Rhinolophus ferrumequinum: one gene and its partner. The protein of the gene in region 2 binds, or shares a complex with, the protein of the main gene of each other region. Links are inferred from orthologs where the notes say so. Each region holds a gene or a part of one and is shown on either strand. Other genes may lie near its edges.

Evidence for each region. The genes of interacting proteins can lie anywhere in the genome.
Region 1: the proteins of guanine nucleotide-binding protein G(q) subunit alpha (region 2) and F2RL1 are in contact, whole or in part, in a cryo-EM structure (PDB 9D0A), measured with the Homo sapiens proteins. The link is inferred for Rhinolophus ferrumequinum from reciprocal best matches to the Homo sapiens genes GNAQ and F2RL1. Residues at the interface, in NP_002063.2 of Homo sapiens: Arg37, Ile323, Tyr325, Asp346, Ile348, Leu349, Gln350, Asn352, Leu353, Glu355, Tyr356, Asn357, Leu358, Val359; in NP_005233.4 of Homo sapiens: His108, Pro109, Ala110, Met114, Gln172, Arg173, Val176, Ile177, Pro180, Met181, Gly182, His183, Ser184, Arg185, Met265, Met268, Leu269, Met274, Asp275, Asn277, Lys280, Lys281, Arg284, Ala285, Leu288, Ile289, Tyr344, Tyr345, Val347, Ser348.

What each region holds. Positions count from the first base shown.
Region 1 is NC_046290.1:49,084,963-49,092,715, forward strand, and holds the start of F2RL1 (proteinase-activated receptor 2), read left to right. Parts: upstream 1-4,738; 5' UTR 4,739-4,808; coding exon 4,809-4,890; intron 4,891-7,753. UniProt on the Homo sapiens protein: Receptor for trypsin and trypsin-like enzymes coupled to G proteins.
Region 2 is NC_046295.1:42,698,461-42,706,384, reverse strand, and holds the start of guanine nucleotide-binding protein G(q) subunit alpha, read left to right. Parts: upstream 1-4,913; 5' UTR 4,914-5,135; coding exon 5,136-5,271; intron 5,272-7,924.

The DNA.
Region 1 (7,753 bases), on a different chromosome or scaffold from region 2:
CAAAGGAATGGTAAGGGAGTGTGCATGGCTGGAGCAGAATGAGTGAGGGGAATAGAGGAGATGAAGTCAAGGAGGGTGTGTGTGTGTGTGTGTGTGTGTGTGTGTGTGTGTGTGTGTTCATGGGGAGGGGTTCAGGATGTCTGAACCTTTGACAGACTTTGGTTTGAACTCAGAAATGGGAAGCTACTTCAGTATTTTAAGTAAGGAAGTCATCATGTTACCGGCTTTGTGGGTCTTGGGTTCCCCAAGATAGAAATTGAGAGGAAACCTCAGAAAAATTTCCAGACAGGTTTTATTAAGTTTATGCTCGAGCACAAGGGAGGTAGCACAGAGGAAAGGAAGGTCCTCCAAACTGGCTCGGGGTCGGGCTGTGCCTAGCTGTTTTTATAAGCTGGAGACAAAAAAATAAAACAAACAAAAACGGGGGCTTGTGTGAAAAGACAGGCTTTCGGAAAAAGGCAGGTTTCCTTTACCAGCTACATTGCCTGGTAACCATGGTCAGGCCTGCACTGTGGGGCAAGATGGCAGACTGCTCATTATTGCCACCCCAGGAAGGTCCGATGGTGGTCAACTGCTGTAGAGGGATCACCCTTGTGGTCAGTTTATCCAGCATTCCTTTGGCCCTGGGCCTAGTCCCTGTGCTGTCTCAATCTGATGCACATTTTCACAGGTTCACTCTGATCACTGTGTTGAGAGAAGACTGTGTAAGGCTTATGGGTAAAATGAGGGAGACAAGTTATAAGGCTATTGCAATAATCTAGGCAAAAGATAATAGTAAGTTGGACCAGGGTGGTATTTGGGATATATTTTCAAGGTGGGATTTGCTGATGAATCAGATGTGGAATATAAGAGAAGTCAAGGATGACTCCAAGACTTTTGATTTGGGCAACTGGAAGGATGGGGTTTAAGGAGATGAGCAGAGAAGACTATGAGAGGGGTGTAGTGGATCAGAAATTTAGTTTTGGATACATGCTTGATATGCTTATCGTCAGGTCCCAGTGGAGTTGTTGAGTAACTGGATGGATATGTTATTTTTAGGGAATGGAGAAATCTGGGCTCTAAATACTAATTTGGGAGTTGTCTGCACATACATTTATTTAAAAACCACAGGAGATGAGTGTACATTGAAAAGAAGTTAAAGGACAAACCCAGGGGCACTCCAGAGTATAGAATTCAAGAAGGTGAGTGAGAACCAGAAAACAACCAACTCTTCTGAACTGTCAGTGAGGTAGGAGGCGAGATCAAGGCATGTGTGATTAGTTCAGGAAGCCAACTGAACATCGTATTCAAGAAGGAGAGATCAATTGGGTCCAATTCCACAGTCAGCTTGAGCAACATGAAAACTGAGAATTGACCAAAGGACTTACCATGTGAAGGTCACTGCTAACCTTGTTCAAAGTGTTTATTCAGTGAATTGATGAGTGAACGAATGTAATGTTTCCTCCATCTATATTTGGCCAGGACCCAAGAGTGCAGGGATTATATCTTTGTTTCTCCAGGAAGAGTTGGATGAGTTTGATAAATGATTGTAGAATTGATTGAATGAAATGGCTTTTCCTTCACTGCCTGGCCTATCCCAGTTCCTACTTTATTTTCCTTAGAATGTGGAGGGTGGGAAACTGCACAAAGTTCCCAATTCCCAGATGCCAGGCTATCTGGAATTGCCGGTGGTTATTTTCCTGTACTGCTGCACAGAGCTGTACAAAATCCCAAGCCCTTCAGGTCAAAGGAGTCACCAATATCTAAAGAACAAATCTTGTAGTTTCAAAGTCACAGGAAAATATCTGCAAACTAACTCAAATGAATGTAGTTAGATAGTCAGGCTGCTGGTTTATAGTCATTCTTGAGATAATTACTCGTAACTCAACATTGTTCAAAAACGTATTTTCTTGGGAATTTTGATGATTCAGAGCACAAAATCATAAAACACCAGTGAAAATTACAGTCAAAACCAGCCAGGTCTTCATGCATTGTTCTCTGAAAAGAGGAAGATTCCCCCTGGAGGAAGTCATTCTATAGTAGCTACCATTTCCATATACCAGGAACTGCTAAAGAAGCACTTTATGGGCATTTAGAAAACGGAGTCCTCTCAACCACCCTACAGGAATGGTACTGTGATCACCCCCAGATTTTAGATGTAATAGTAATAGATTATAATGAGAAAATGGTAGAGGCTTGGAAAGACTGAGGGGACATCATAGGGCTTACCTCCCCTAATGAGGGACCCTCAGGTGTAAACCGATCCCCATCAGAACTGTCCCCTGGACAAGAAGTCCCTGGTGCTTCTTCTAGAAGTTAACTTTTCCTGGAAGAAAAGAGGGCACAGGCTGATGCATGTGGCCCTGGGAGGTAGCATCCTGAGAGCTGGGGTGCAAGTGGGGTGTGTGAAGGAGATTCCTGAGAGAAAGGAAGGAATCAAAAAGAATGTGTTGGGCTTCTATCATGCATCAAACACAGTCACAATTTATTTTATCTTCAGACACCTTTGAACTAAAAAGAATATTAACTCCGTTTTGTATGTTAAGGAACCTGAAGCTTAGAGAGGGTAAGTCTTTCTCCAACGTCACACAGATGTTGGTAAGGCGAGAAGCCAGAATTTGCCCACAGGAATACATGATTTCAAAGGCTAACCTCTTTCCACATTCCAAAAACAATTCATTTGAGATATAGCAATGAGGGATTCCTAAGGGATGGGCTACTGAAAAGCAGCCACTAAAAAGAATTGTCTTTCACAGAACAGCTTTCCCTAGCCATGCTTATCTGTGTGTGTGTGTGTGTGTGTGTGTGTGTGTGTATGTGTGTTAGGAGTCAGTCCATTCCTGTTATTCAGGGAACGAGTATTCCACTCCCATGGCATGTTAAAGGTCATTTGCTTCTCTTCCTTTTCAGTTTTTATTTCCCTCCTCTTGGGAGCTCCTCTGTCCAGGTAGAGAGAAAAGGTAGAATGCCAACTATCCACTTACAAGTCGATAACTTTGGGGAAATGTTTTATTGGGGATATGGTTAAACAACTGGCTAGCATGACATTGTATATACTTTTGTCTGCCTGCATTATCTCAAACCCACATTCGTTCTATTAATTGGCCCCACAGTGGGTTCAGTAAGAGGACACAGGGCCTATATCAGATGTAAGCTCCATCCTAGAAACTCACAGGCCTAAGATTGTGGCCATTCAGTTAATGGTTCAAAACTTAGTAGTGGTTACAGGCACTGACTCACAAACTTTGGTCTTCTAGGGAGAATCACAGACTCTGAGGGCTCAAGCTCGTCACCCGGCTATCCGGACTCGCCCAAACTGGCTGGAGCTGGGGAGGAAACGCCCTCTCCCACACGCTGGACTGATGACCTGGTCTTTTGCTGCAAGCTGGGCCGTGATGTGACCCTCCACCTCACCAGGCAGGCCTGAGGACTGGGACTGGCCGGACTTGTTAGAAATGTTTCTCCACTGAGCGAAAATCAGCCTCCCACTCTGGCTTCCACCTCTTTCTGCATTCTTGGACCTACTCAAAACACATCTAATTCTCTTCGACATGCTAATCCTTCAAATATCTGAAGACAACACTCCCGTTTCTCTTTACTGCCCCTCCACTACCCAATAGTTTAAATGGATAACAGTCAACTTTATTTTTTAAAGCAAGTAAAAAGGAAGACATTACCAATATGCTGAAGGCCCTTGTGCGCTCATCACCGATCTCACACTCGTTCTATCCCCACCCCCTCTATCTGCTTATAAATGTCTTTGGTCCCTAGGATCCCAATGTGGAAAAGACCCTAGTGGAAACATTTATGGTGCAATGATTAATAGAAGACAGTGGCACTCATAGACTAGAGTTTAAATGTGGTTGACATTTACAGCCTGTATCTATAAACTGCATAACTGTGGGCAATTTATCCAACCTTTCTAAGCCCCATCTCCTCGTTTGTAAAACGGGAATAATAATCATACTTAGTGCGCAGGTTGTTTTCAGGGTTAAACTACACAGGGCTCCTAAATCATTCGCACTTCTCACTTAAAGTAACTGTTCCAACTGTTTTCTCCCCGTCCACCTCTCAGACGAGGAAATGGGCCTAGAAGGAGGTGAAGAGGTTTGTTGGAGGTCGCAGCTAGTTAACAGCAGAGCGGAAACCTATCCTACATCCCTAACCCCTCCTATCCGTACCCCTTTCTGCTCCCCACCGCTTTCTTTGGTGTCCGCAGCCATCCATTTTGCCTCTGCAGATTAAAAACGTGTCCACTCCACTGGGAAGCCTCTACCAATTACCGAGGGTAAGTGCAGTGAGCTCGAGTCTTGCTTTTTTGCCATTTAGGTAAGGGGAGGGGCGATGGACGACACTGGCTCCTCAGTAGGAATTAAAGGTGAAAGGTAGTTGTAGGCGTCGCGCAGGCCTGGAGGAACCCTCCGTCCCAGCGTTCCTACTATTTGCATTCCAATAAGGCTACTTCACCGGCCTACCCTGCCCGCGGGCGGCTCGGGCTGGCTGGGAACTGCAGCTCGTCCACCCGGAGCCGGGAGGGCGGCGAGTGGCGGGGTAGCTCGGAGCCTGGAGGCCCCGGGCCGAGCCCGAGCGCCTGACAGCTGAAGGGGCGGGACGGGGCCGCGGGTTTGGCCCCTGGGCGTGGCCTCGCGCAGGTGCTGGAGCGGCTGGGGTTTCACTGAAACTTATCAGGCTCTGGGAAGGCGCGCGCAGCGGCTCCAGTTAGGGGCAGGTGAGAGAGTGGCTTTCTCTTCCACCCGCGAGTGGAGCTCTGAGTTTTGAATCAGTGGCGGCGAATTCCTCGCTCGCCCGGCGTCCGGGTTGTTGGAAGAATGCGAAGCCCGAGCGCGGCATGGCTGCTGGGGAGCGCCATCCTGCTGGCGGCCTCTGCCTCGGGTGACCGCACGATCCAAGGTGAGAAACGGCCGCGGAGGGCTCGTGCCGCTAAGGAGCAGGGATTCTGGGCACTGTCGGCAGGTGGGGGAAGTGGGCCAGTGCGCGCAGGGTGTTCTGCTGCCTCCGAGCACCTCCCGTACACTCCACAGTCTCCTCTCCGCCGCTTTCACGGGGGATCCCCGCGTTCAGGGAGCCACCGAATGAGACAATCCCAAGAGGCTGAAGTTCACGGAGGGAAGGGAAAGGAGTGCTCGAGTCTAAAGGCTACTTAGAGGACTCCCACGGGTTGGCTTCTTTGCAAACACTAGGTCATTAAGGAGCTTTTCGCACACCCTGGCGACTTCCTCCGGGCTGGTCCCAGGGGACCCCTGGAGTTATGAGTTGATGGATCGGAGCGGGGTTGAGTGGGTGGGAGCCCCGCGGCCAAGAACCTCGCTTCTTGCAACCCCTTTAGCCTTTGGAGCTCCCTCTTTGGGAACGGCCCACGGGGTTAAAGACCCACCGGCCCGCAGCTCCCCTGGCACCATGCACCGCTCGGTATGGAAGTCAGGGCCGGCCCCCGCCGGGTTCTCGCGGTAACCGGCGCTTTGCTTCAAGTTTTAGGCCAGTTGGGCATCACGCAGATTTATGGAAGTTCTTGAACTCTGCCTTATATTCGACCAGGTGATCTTAGGGCCCTGAGTTCCCGCACCCTTCTCTGTCACCCGGAGCGTGCACTGGCTGCCACTGAGATCGGAGGCTGCCAGTCCCGGGGACTGAACAGCGCGAGAGCCAACTGGGTGGTGATCAGGTGCCTAATTGTTCGCGGCTGCGGGTGACTGCCCTGCGAGTGCTCCAAGTTGTTCTGCTGGGGGTGGAATCTCCCTGGCGGAGCAGGCGTCTGAGGGCGTGGGGAATCCTTGGCCTGAGATCGCGCTGCTGTGATGCTAACAGACGCCCCACAGTTTGGGGCAGGCAGGGTTGTCTTCAAAGGGAAGTTTTTCTTTCCCTGCGAAATTTGCCGACCTGCTGTAAAGGGTCAGTTTCTCATTTTTATTCTTTTCATGAAGATATTGTAAAAGAGCATTTGAATTTGCTCTTAAAAGAGCATGTGAATTTGAATTAGATTGAAGAATGTAATTCTTTTCCCTCTGGAGTTACAGAAAAGGGGATTATGGTGTATACTTGAGAACTGCACCACTGACTACATTTTATTGTCAGCATTTATTTATTTCCGGGAGGTATTGAAAATGATTAATACTTCTCCATTTACCTTTCAGCTCCAAGTCAAGTACGGTAGTTGTTTCATTCTAGTTGTGGAGGGTGCAGCTCACGGTGGCCCATGTGGAGATCGAACCCGCAACCCTGGCATTCGGAGCATCGTGCTCTAATCAACTGAGCTAATAGGTCGCCCCTACCTTTGTCTTTTAAAGTTAGAAAGTTAAAATTGAGGAGCAAAACTTAGAATGTGCAAATACGTTTGAAAAATATGTGGGTGTAGGTGAGTCAGTGCTTTTATGATTCAGACAGTTCCTATAGGAAGTTCGTCCTGAGTATGGGCTTGTTCTTGTTTACAAAGCGACTGGGCTGGGGCTGGAGGATTCCTCCAGTATAAGGTGAACTTAATTTAACAACAGCAAAATCAAGTTACTTGTTAACCAGAACTATTTAATATTGCATTTGGGTTGTTTTGTTTTGTTCCATCTTCATACTTTGATTCCCTTGTAGGGTAAGGTTCCTGAAGTGTTACTTAAGTAACAGACTTTAGGTAGATGGAGCTTTCCTCCCAACTTGAAACTAAATTAATTTTGATAAAGAAATAGAGCATCGCCAGAGTTTTTTTGCTTCTCAGCCCACGTCTTTGCTCATCCCCTTTTAGCTTGACCTTTACCCACGCTCCTCAATTTGCTACAGGACAGATAACAGCTTTGATTTTCTTCCCAAAGGCCTTACCCTGAAAGACTGCCTCATGAAAGGGAACTCAACCTAGAGAACAACCTTCTCGTTTTACATAGGCAGCCCACGGAATTTGTGGGGGGCAAGGAAAAACATTCCATCAGACTCTGCTTTCTTTCCTATTTGTCACAACAGTAATTGATAATGACTTTTGTAAATAAGTTTAATCTGTCTCCCCACTGGATCCTAAACTCTTGGAGGCCAGGGACCCTTGCGTCATCTCCATTGCCATGGTCCAGCACGCTCATTATTTAAAGGACTTCAGTAAATAGCAAATGAAGAGTGAAATGAGGGGACTTGCCCAGAGAGACCTGGCAGGTTGATGGCAGTTGGGCATTTAAATCAGCTTTTTTCAGGCACTGATTTCTTTCTACCACATTGTAAGCTTGGGAAGGCCCCTGTGATGCAGTCATTCCTTTTTTTTTCTTTTGGAGACTGAAACTTCTGTTCTCTTTGTAATTGGTTTTTAGTGATACAAGTAATATGTGATTGCTACAGAGGAAAAATGAGAAAAAAAGGAAAAGTTTAATTAAGTCACCCTCAGTACCCAAGAAACCATGCTCACATTTTGGTTTATATCCTTTTCCATGCTTTCATGCATCCATGCATAAAATATGTATTCACAAATATAGAAAGTCTTTATATGCAAGTATGGGATTAAATAAACCATTAGCATGTCAGTAACTATAAAACATTTTTAATGACTCTAAAACATGTTGTAGGAGAATGTGTCATAATTTTTAAATTGGTCCTGTTGATAGACAACATGGGGTATTTCCACTGTCTCATAATAAGAGAGAATACTATAATGAGCATGAAGATGGGATTTTGAATTTGTGGTTTTGGTTCCTTTGCTTGCCTTGTAGTTACTAATTAACCTTGATAGGCGATGTTTTAGTGAAGTCTGTGTTTGACTTTCTTATGGTTTTATTAGCAAGACAAGTGT
Region 2 (7,924 bases):
ACTTAACAACTTTGAATATATATTGTGTCATAACCTCCAATATATAACATGCACATTACTTGAAATGAATTTGTATCAGGAATATCAATTTTCCTATAAAGTTGATTTAGGTGGAATTAATACATGTTTCCATCTGGGTTTTGAACAAAAATGTTGCATCCCCAGCTTTCATGATATCGTAGCAATGGCCAATTTTCATTGATGAACCCATTTGAGGCAAGATTTTTAAGCACAGGGCCAAGGAATGTTTTAGAGAGGGAGCCAACTTTGGTGGCTACCATCTGGCTAAGGAAAAAAAGAAAAGAGGCAGACTGCCAAGCGGTCAACATGTGGCCTTTTTGTCAATCATTCAACAAATGTTTCTGAAGCATCTATTACCTCTCAGACACTATTCTAGGTGCTGGATTTAGAAATGAACCAAACAGACAAAAAGCCCTTATGGAGTTTTATATGAGAAATGATCAAAGGGAGGAGAGATGAGTATAATGGTTTAAACGATTATTTGATTTAGAAACTTGGAAACAAAAAAAGGGGAAAGAAATCAATGGCCTCAACAACCTGATTAAATCCAGTATCCAATCCCCATCCTGCTCACTGCCTTAGAGGTCCTACCTGGAATGCTCACAGGTACAGTATGTGCTAAATGGAGAGTACAAATTGGTCCAGGATTCACAACAATGGGAGTAAATCAGGTGACGGGAATGGTCATCATCTGGAAATATAGGCCTGGGATTGCCAGATCTTGACCAGGAACTGAAACCCCCATTTCTATGTGAATCTCTTGATGTTTAAGTTCTGATAGCTAATTCAAAATTTTCAATAGCACCATTAAGTCAAAAGCAACACTTCTTCAGGCCAAAGATCCCAATTTGCACCCTTGGTCTTAGGTGGAAGTCCAGCAAGGGCAGAGTCTTGGGGGACAGGTGGCTCCAACTTGTAATAACTTCAAGGCAAAAAGGAAACTCCTATGTTAGCTAAGTTATCCTTGATCCTTTGGATACCAGAAGGATTTGGATTATGATTTGGGGTGACCTGATAGCTCACTGTCTGATCTTAGTACATATTCATTCATTTGCTCCAATTCATTCATTCATTCACTCATTCATTAATCAAATATTAGTAAATGGCTTCGGTGGCTGAAACACTGCTCTACTCAGCTTAAACACATTCCCATTTGGCCAGCCTTTTCGGGCCTTCCAGTCTGGTGGGACTTAGATGGCATTTACACTGTGAGTACAATACTTACTGTGATAATGCTGACCTTGGATAAGCACAAAATAAGTATATCTGATTAGTCAGAGGATCGGTTGAATGCATTTCTGAGGATAATAATAGAAAGATGTCACTGAGCTACTCTACCTCATCTAGACTATCAGTTTGGTGGCTTTTCTCTTTCAGAAGAAGGTGTTCTGTTTCACACCTGATTTTTCATCTTCTACATGTTGACCCTAGAACCATTTCTTTCAACTAAGAATCACTATCTTTCTGCTGTTGTGAAAACTGTCCTCTAGGTGGTGCCATTTGCAGCTCTCTAAGCCTGCGTCGGCCTGCTTTCCACCCCAGCAAGGCCACTTGACTCCCTGGCCAGACAGCTGTGCCAGCAAGCTCTGCACAGAGCAGCTCTTTCCCAGCTGTTGTAGGGCCGGCAATGCTCCAGGCTGACTTCTAATTGGTCTTACAGGTGACCACCACCGTGTGCCTATCCATACTCTTGGGTTGCTTTGAACGGTGCCTGGGATCTCTGCTCCTTGTTTTGAACTCCTAGCAATCCGTTCTCTACAGTGTAGATTGGTAGTGAGTGCGTCTCATTTTACATTGTTGTTTATTCTTTTATGCATGTGGACTGTCTGGCCAAATAGATTATTAAGACTTTAAGGCACTGCCTGGGACTGGGAGTCTGCAAGTGTTTTTGTTGTTGATGGAGGTTGTGGTATCCTTTTCTTTATTCATCATTTACAAGGTCTATGCTCTCAAGCAGCTTGAGAGAGAGAGAGAGAGAGAGAGAGAGAGAGAGAGAGAGAGAGAGAGAGAGAGAATGAATGAGAATTACAGTGGTGTAGTGCTATGCATGCTGGGAAGCAGCTGTGCCAAGTGCCTGGGAACAGAAGGAGTGCAGGCTTATCCTTCTCCAGGAACTCCTTTTACAAGAGTGCGACCTTTCACTCTAACTCTAGGATCACTCCTAGAGACTATTCTATACCTTTGACTGTTTTTCTTTTCCAGTCCCCCAAGGACAGGGTGATATGATCATGGGGGTAGGGATCCATCTCAGAATACCATAGAAGAGGTGACAGTCTTCCCATTTTCCTCTGGTGTTCAGTGTTCAAGCTCCTAGGATTTTGTGGCTTGCTTTTCAGCTATCTAGTAATTGCCCTAGAATACTTAAAATGGTTGATCATCTTACTCTGTGTTTTGGGGTGATTTGGAATGTGATTTGTATCTACAGTGTATCGAAGCAGTTAATTCCTTTCATCAAAAAATAGGTCAATTCCGTCAAAATGGATCCTGGTAGCTTGATGACATTTTCAAAAATCTCAGAGGATTCTTGGCTAGGAAACCCAGACATTTGAAGCTTCCTGTCATTTAATTTTCTGATGTTTTGAATCTGAAACCCATATATATATATATACATATATATACATACACATATATATGCATATATATATATACACATATATATGGATGCAAACTTATAATTAAGCTTTTCCTCTGAAGCCATTTAAAAGTTCTGCATGTTGAATTTCAGTCTTTAACTTCATTAGTCACTTTATTTTAAATTTCACAGCAGGTCTAGTGGCTTTTTGTGGGCATTCACATAAATGTGAGGTTTGTCCTTTCTGCTCTCTGAGCCAAGGTGAAATCTAATCATTTTCTAGGCCAAATATCCTTTTAAAAGGGAGTCTAAAATATAGATCTTATATCGCGATGACTTCTTTGATCTAAGTTCTGAAAGAGAGAGGTGGGGGCAGTCAAGGGGTGGAGGTAAAGGCAAATGAAAGAAGGTAGTCACACATCTGTCATTCGAGAACCCTTTGTGCATTTGTGACCTGTAGCAATAAGACTGTCATGATCATATTTTACACTCTGGATCAGCAGGTTGCACCAGAGACATCTCAGAGAAAACAAAACGTGAAAAAGGGACTCCCTGTATAGAATTCAATTTACTTTCAAGACCTCAGGTTCCGTTAAGGCAGGACGCAATATGAGTTTCATCTCTTGTAGCTATTAAACTACATAAAACCTGAATGAGCAAGATTTTTTTGTGTGTGTGTAGCCATTTTTCAGTCCTATGTAACAACAAAATATGCAAACATTTTTAAGTAAACTGCCCCAATCGAGAGTGGAAAACAAAATACTGGAATAAAATTTTGCTGAGGCGATGTTGGTTTTCTCATTTTTCTATTTTACTCTTTCCTTTTCTTTCACGTTATTTTGCATTTTCCCAGTAGACATCCATAATTCAATCTCGGCCTAGAAGGGTAAATTCGATTACTTGGCTGTTAAACATCACGTGCCTTTTAAAAAACAGGAGGAGAGCTTGTAAGAAAACAAAAACAACCTCAATGGCGTGAAAACTTGGAAGATATCAGGAAGCTCTTGGTAACTTCGGCAGCTTCATTTTTCTGCTCAGGATTTACATTTCTATGTCCAGTAACTGGGGAGAGTTTCACCTTTTAATTCCCCCCCGACACACACACACCTCCGGGAACCAGTGACAATTACTTCTCTTCCTCCGTCACACTCCACTATCGAGTGTATCTGATTTTCTACTACTGAACTGGGGTCAGAGATGACAGAGATACTCTCTAACCGAATGGCGTTATAGAAATAGGAACGGGAAGGAATACAGAAGCGGCTGCAGAGGGTCGCGCCAGCAGATCTGTGCTGTCCAGGAGCGGGGGGCGCGAGCGCCGCGGCCGCCTGCGGGGAGTTGGGCAGGGTGTCCACGGTGACAGCCGGTGCAGGGGGCTCGCGGGGCCGAATCCTGAGGATTCCCCGAGGGCCGAGGCCGCGCTCCGGGGCTGGTGGGCTGAAAGGGAGACAGAGGCCGCCATATTCCTGCTTCACCACGCCCGGGCAGCCGGCGGGCAGCGGCAGGTTGGCGGCCGCCCTGGCTGAGCTGGGGAGACCCGACCCCGCCCTCCGCCGGGGGCGGCCGTGACCGCGGCGCCCGCGGGCCCCGCAGAGGGCGCGGGAGCGGAAGGCGCCCGCAGAGCTCCCAGGGCCGGCCCAGCCCGGGAGGAGCGCGGGCGAGGCGAGAGCCGCACTGGGCGGCGCGCGCGGCGGCTGCGAGCCCAGGAGAGCCTTCCAGGAGGGGCCGGGCGGCACCGCCTCCCCGCTCCCTCCTCCTGCGCCCGCTCCCTCCTCCTCCTCCTCCTCCTCCTCCTCCTCCTCCTCCTCTTCCTCCCGCCGCCGCCGCCGCCGCCGCCGCCTCCCTCCCGGATCTGTGCTCCAGTTCAGAGAAAGAAGAAAATGTGTGTGTGTGGCGAGGGGGAGGGCGAGCACTGAGCAGCCGCTCCGCGCCTGGCAATCGGGGCCGGGGGTGGGCGCCTGGCGGAGGCGGAGGCGGAGGCGGAGGCGGAGGAGCGCGCGGCAGCCGGCGGGCGGTGGGCGCGGGCAGGGCCGAGGGCGCCCGGAGCCGTGTTAAGCGGCGGCCAAGAGCGGGCGCGCCGGGCGCAGAGAGCCATCGGCGGCCGCTCGCTGCGTACGCCCCGGTGGATGTGCTCTCGCCGCCGGGCGCAGGGCTTAGGGGAGCCTCGGCGGCAGCGGTGGCCGCGCGGGGGGCGAGGCGAGCCGCCCGTGCCCGGGGAAGGAAGCCCGGGCGTCTGAGCAAGGCCGGGAGCGGCGGCCTTTCGTCGCGCGCACCCCGAACCAGCGCCCGCGGCCGCCTCCCGCCCCGCCTCGCTCCTGCGGGCGGCCCAGCCGTCTGCTCCCGCCGCACCCCCGTTCCACCTGGTGGCTCCGGCCCTGGCCGCGGCCACCGCGGCGGTTCCCCGAGCTAGTCCCGGACGCGCGCCCGGGCGGCGGGGGCTCGGCGGCCACCGCTGCCTCGGGGGAGCGAGGGCGGGAGGGTGTGTGTGCGCGCGTGTGAGCAGGGGGTGCCGGCGGGGCTGCAGCGGAGGCACTTTGGAAGAATGACTCTGGAGTCCATCATGGCGTGCTGCCTGAGCGAGGAGGCCAAGGAAGCCCGGAGGATCAACGACGAGATCGAGCGGCAGCTCCGCAGGGACAAGCGGGACGCTCGCCGGGAGCTCAAGCTGCTGCTGCTGGGTGAGTACCGCCCGGGGCCGGCCTTCGCGGGCCCTTTCCCCGGACCTCGGCGCCCCCCGCCAGCCACCCCCGAACCCCCCGGGCAGCCGCCGCCAGCGGCCCCCGCCTCAGGGCGCCCGCGGTTGTTCCCTACCCTCCCCCGGCGCGCCCCCGGCCACCACCCGCACCCTTTCGGGCGCGCGCGTACACACATACACTCGCACACACACGCAGAGGGGTCGGGCTGCCCTGCCCCCGGCCCCTGAAGGCCGTGCATTCGGGGTGCGCGTTTATTTGCCGTGCATCTCCTAAATGGCAAATAACTTGGGTGCGGGGGAAGGCATGGGAAGGTGGAAAGAGGGGTTGAACTTCCAGTGTCGTGGCCGCGGCGCCCCGTGGGTGGTGGAGTGGGGAGCTAGCTGTGTGTGTGGCCCGAGGGTGGCGAACGGAGCCAGGGCAACTAGGGGGTGGCCTGTGTGCATCCATATCAGTGCATTCTGGGGTCAGGAGGGAATGGTGGAACGGTGGTGGGCAGAGTCACAGCTGGCTTCTTCAAGGAGTGATGATGAGAGAGGCGAGTGGTTGGCCCTCCAAAGAAAGGAGGCTTATGTATTAGGGGGGCAGGGAGGCAAGCACAAATGTGTCACACAAGTGCTGTTCCCTAGCCACCAGACCAACGAAAGGACGGACCCCAGAAGAGTTTCTTGACCAGTGGATAGTGACAGGCGTGTTTCTTGTCTGCAAAATTCCTTCCAGATAAAAAGGCAAGGGATAGGGGAGCGTTGTGCTGTGTGGTTGTTGACAGCGACGGGTATCTTTTGTTTAATGAGGCAACCCAGATGTAGGCCTGAATTCACAATAGTTACTACTGAAAACCAGTGCAGCCTCTCAATTACTCTCATGGAGACAAATAGAAACCTTTTGTTTAAAACGGACAGCATTTTAATATGTTTGGAATCTGGACTGGAAGGAAAACGGGAAGTGTACAGCAAGAAATTTCCCTTTAATCTCTAAAAAAAAACCAAAAAAACTCAACGTTCTTCTCTAACACTAAGTTAGCAAGAAAATGCTGGTTCTCAATTAGGAATTCTGTTGATTATTATCTCTGAGAGATTGTTCAGAATCAGCCATCAGGGTTCGCATATACAAGCCAGGGTAACATACTCTGAGCTATTGTGGTAAGAAGAGCAAACAGCTTTGCAGTAACAGGCCTGAAAAATGCCTGCACTCGTGTTCAGGATATTTACGTGTATAATAAATATGTTTCTCAGACATTTCTGGAAGAAAAGAATATTGTATTGTCAATTCGGATTTGAGAAACGTGTTTTCTTATCTTGAGCATTCAGTCTCCTGGTTCAAGGAATCAGTTGCCTTTTGGACTGAACTGCTTATGTACCTGGATCATTTAAAGAAGGAACAAAATATAATGATCACAAATAGTTACAAATGGTTAATTCACATGCTATGCTTTATGTTTTCATTTTGAAGCAGATTAGATAAATGTGCACATGTTTATAAAGAACAGAAGGCAAAGTGCTTGATAAAAGAGGTGGGCTTTCAGAAATGAAGGCAGGGCAGGGTAAACTCTTATGGGAAAATGATCTTTTTATTTTTTTATTTTTATTCTCATTTTGAGCTGCTTTTACTGGCTGAAAATGTAGTTGAATGTTTTCTGAATTATCATGATTGAGAAGACAATAGAGAGGGCAAGAGAAATGTATAGAGTGTTTGGGTGCATGATTAAGGGGGCAAAAGCATGTGTTTTAGACTTAACGGTTTTTCTCTTTTCCCTTCCCTGTTTACAGCCTTTACATGTTTCTGTTTAGCTGTGAATTGGGTGGTGAGGGCTCTCAAGCCAACCCTATGGCTTGAAATGTGACAGCTCTGGGTTCCTAGGAGCTATGAGTTAGAGCCCAGGGGGTTCATCTGTTTGAGGGCCTAGGTTTCAATGTCTAGGAGGAGGACTTTTGGGGAAATACACATACATGGATGCTTAATTGCACACTGTGTATTTAAATAACATACTGTGCTTTAAAAAAATGAACTTGCAAGTAATTGCATGAGAAAAAAAATAAAGTAAAACAATTTTACTGCTTAAGTGTTGGCAGTGGGGAGGATTTTTTTTTTTTCTTATTAGATAGTTGAGTAGGGTTTAATACAAGCCCCACCCCGGCCCCCAAATATGGCCTCTTAGAAGTGGTAGAAAAATATGACTTTCATTTAGCACCTACATTCATTGGTAACATTTAAAAATGATACAACTTGCTGTTAGAAATGTGATGCCTAGACATCATGTAACATTTGCTACTGCTTCATGTTCTAAGTATGTTGCTTTTGTAACAAATCTACTGTAATATCTATGCTATTTATATAGTTAATGATATATGCTAAATGTAGGTTTGTGTGTATGGGCATTTCATGATTTTTTGAGTCCAGGAGATAAATGATGGTCGATGTGAATCAGGGCAGGTATTGGGAAGGGGTTCCTTTGAGTACCTCCTGACGGGCTCCTTAGATGAGTCTTCTGGTGCCTTCATTCATTTAAGTGATACCTGACCAAAGGAGGTTAAGGGATGTACCCTTTCACGGTTTAACGATTCACCAATATTTTTAAATATTTAAATTGAGGAATCACCCTTATTTTTAAATGAAATTCCAGATTAAATTCTTTTCA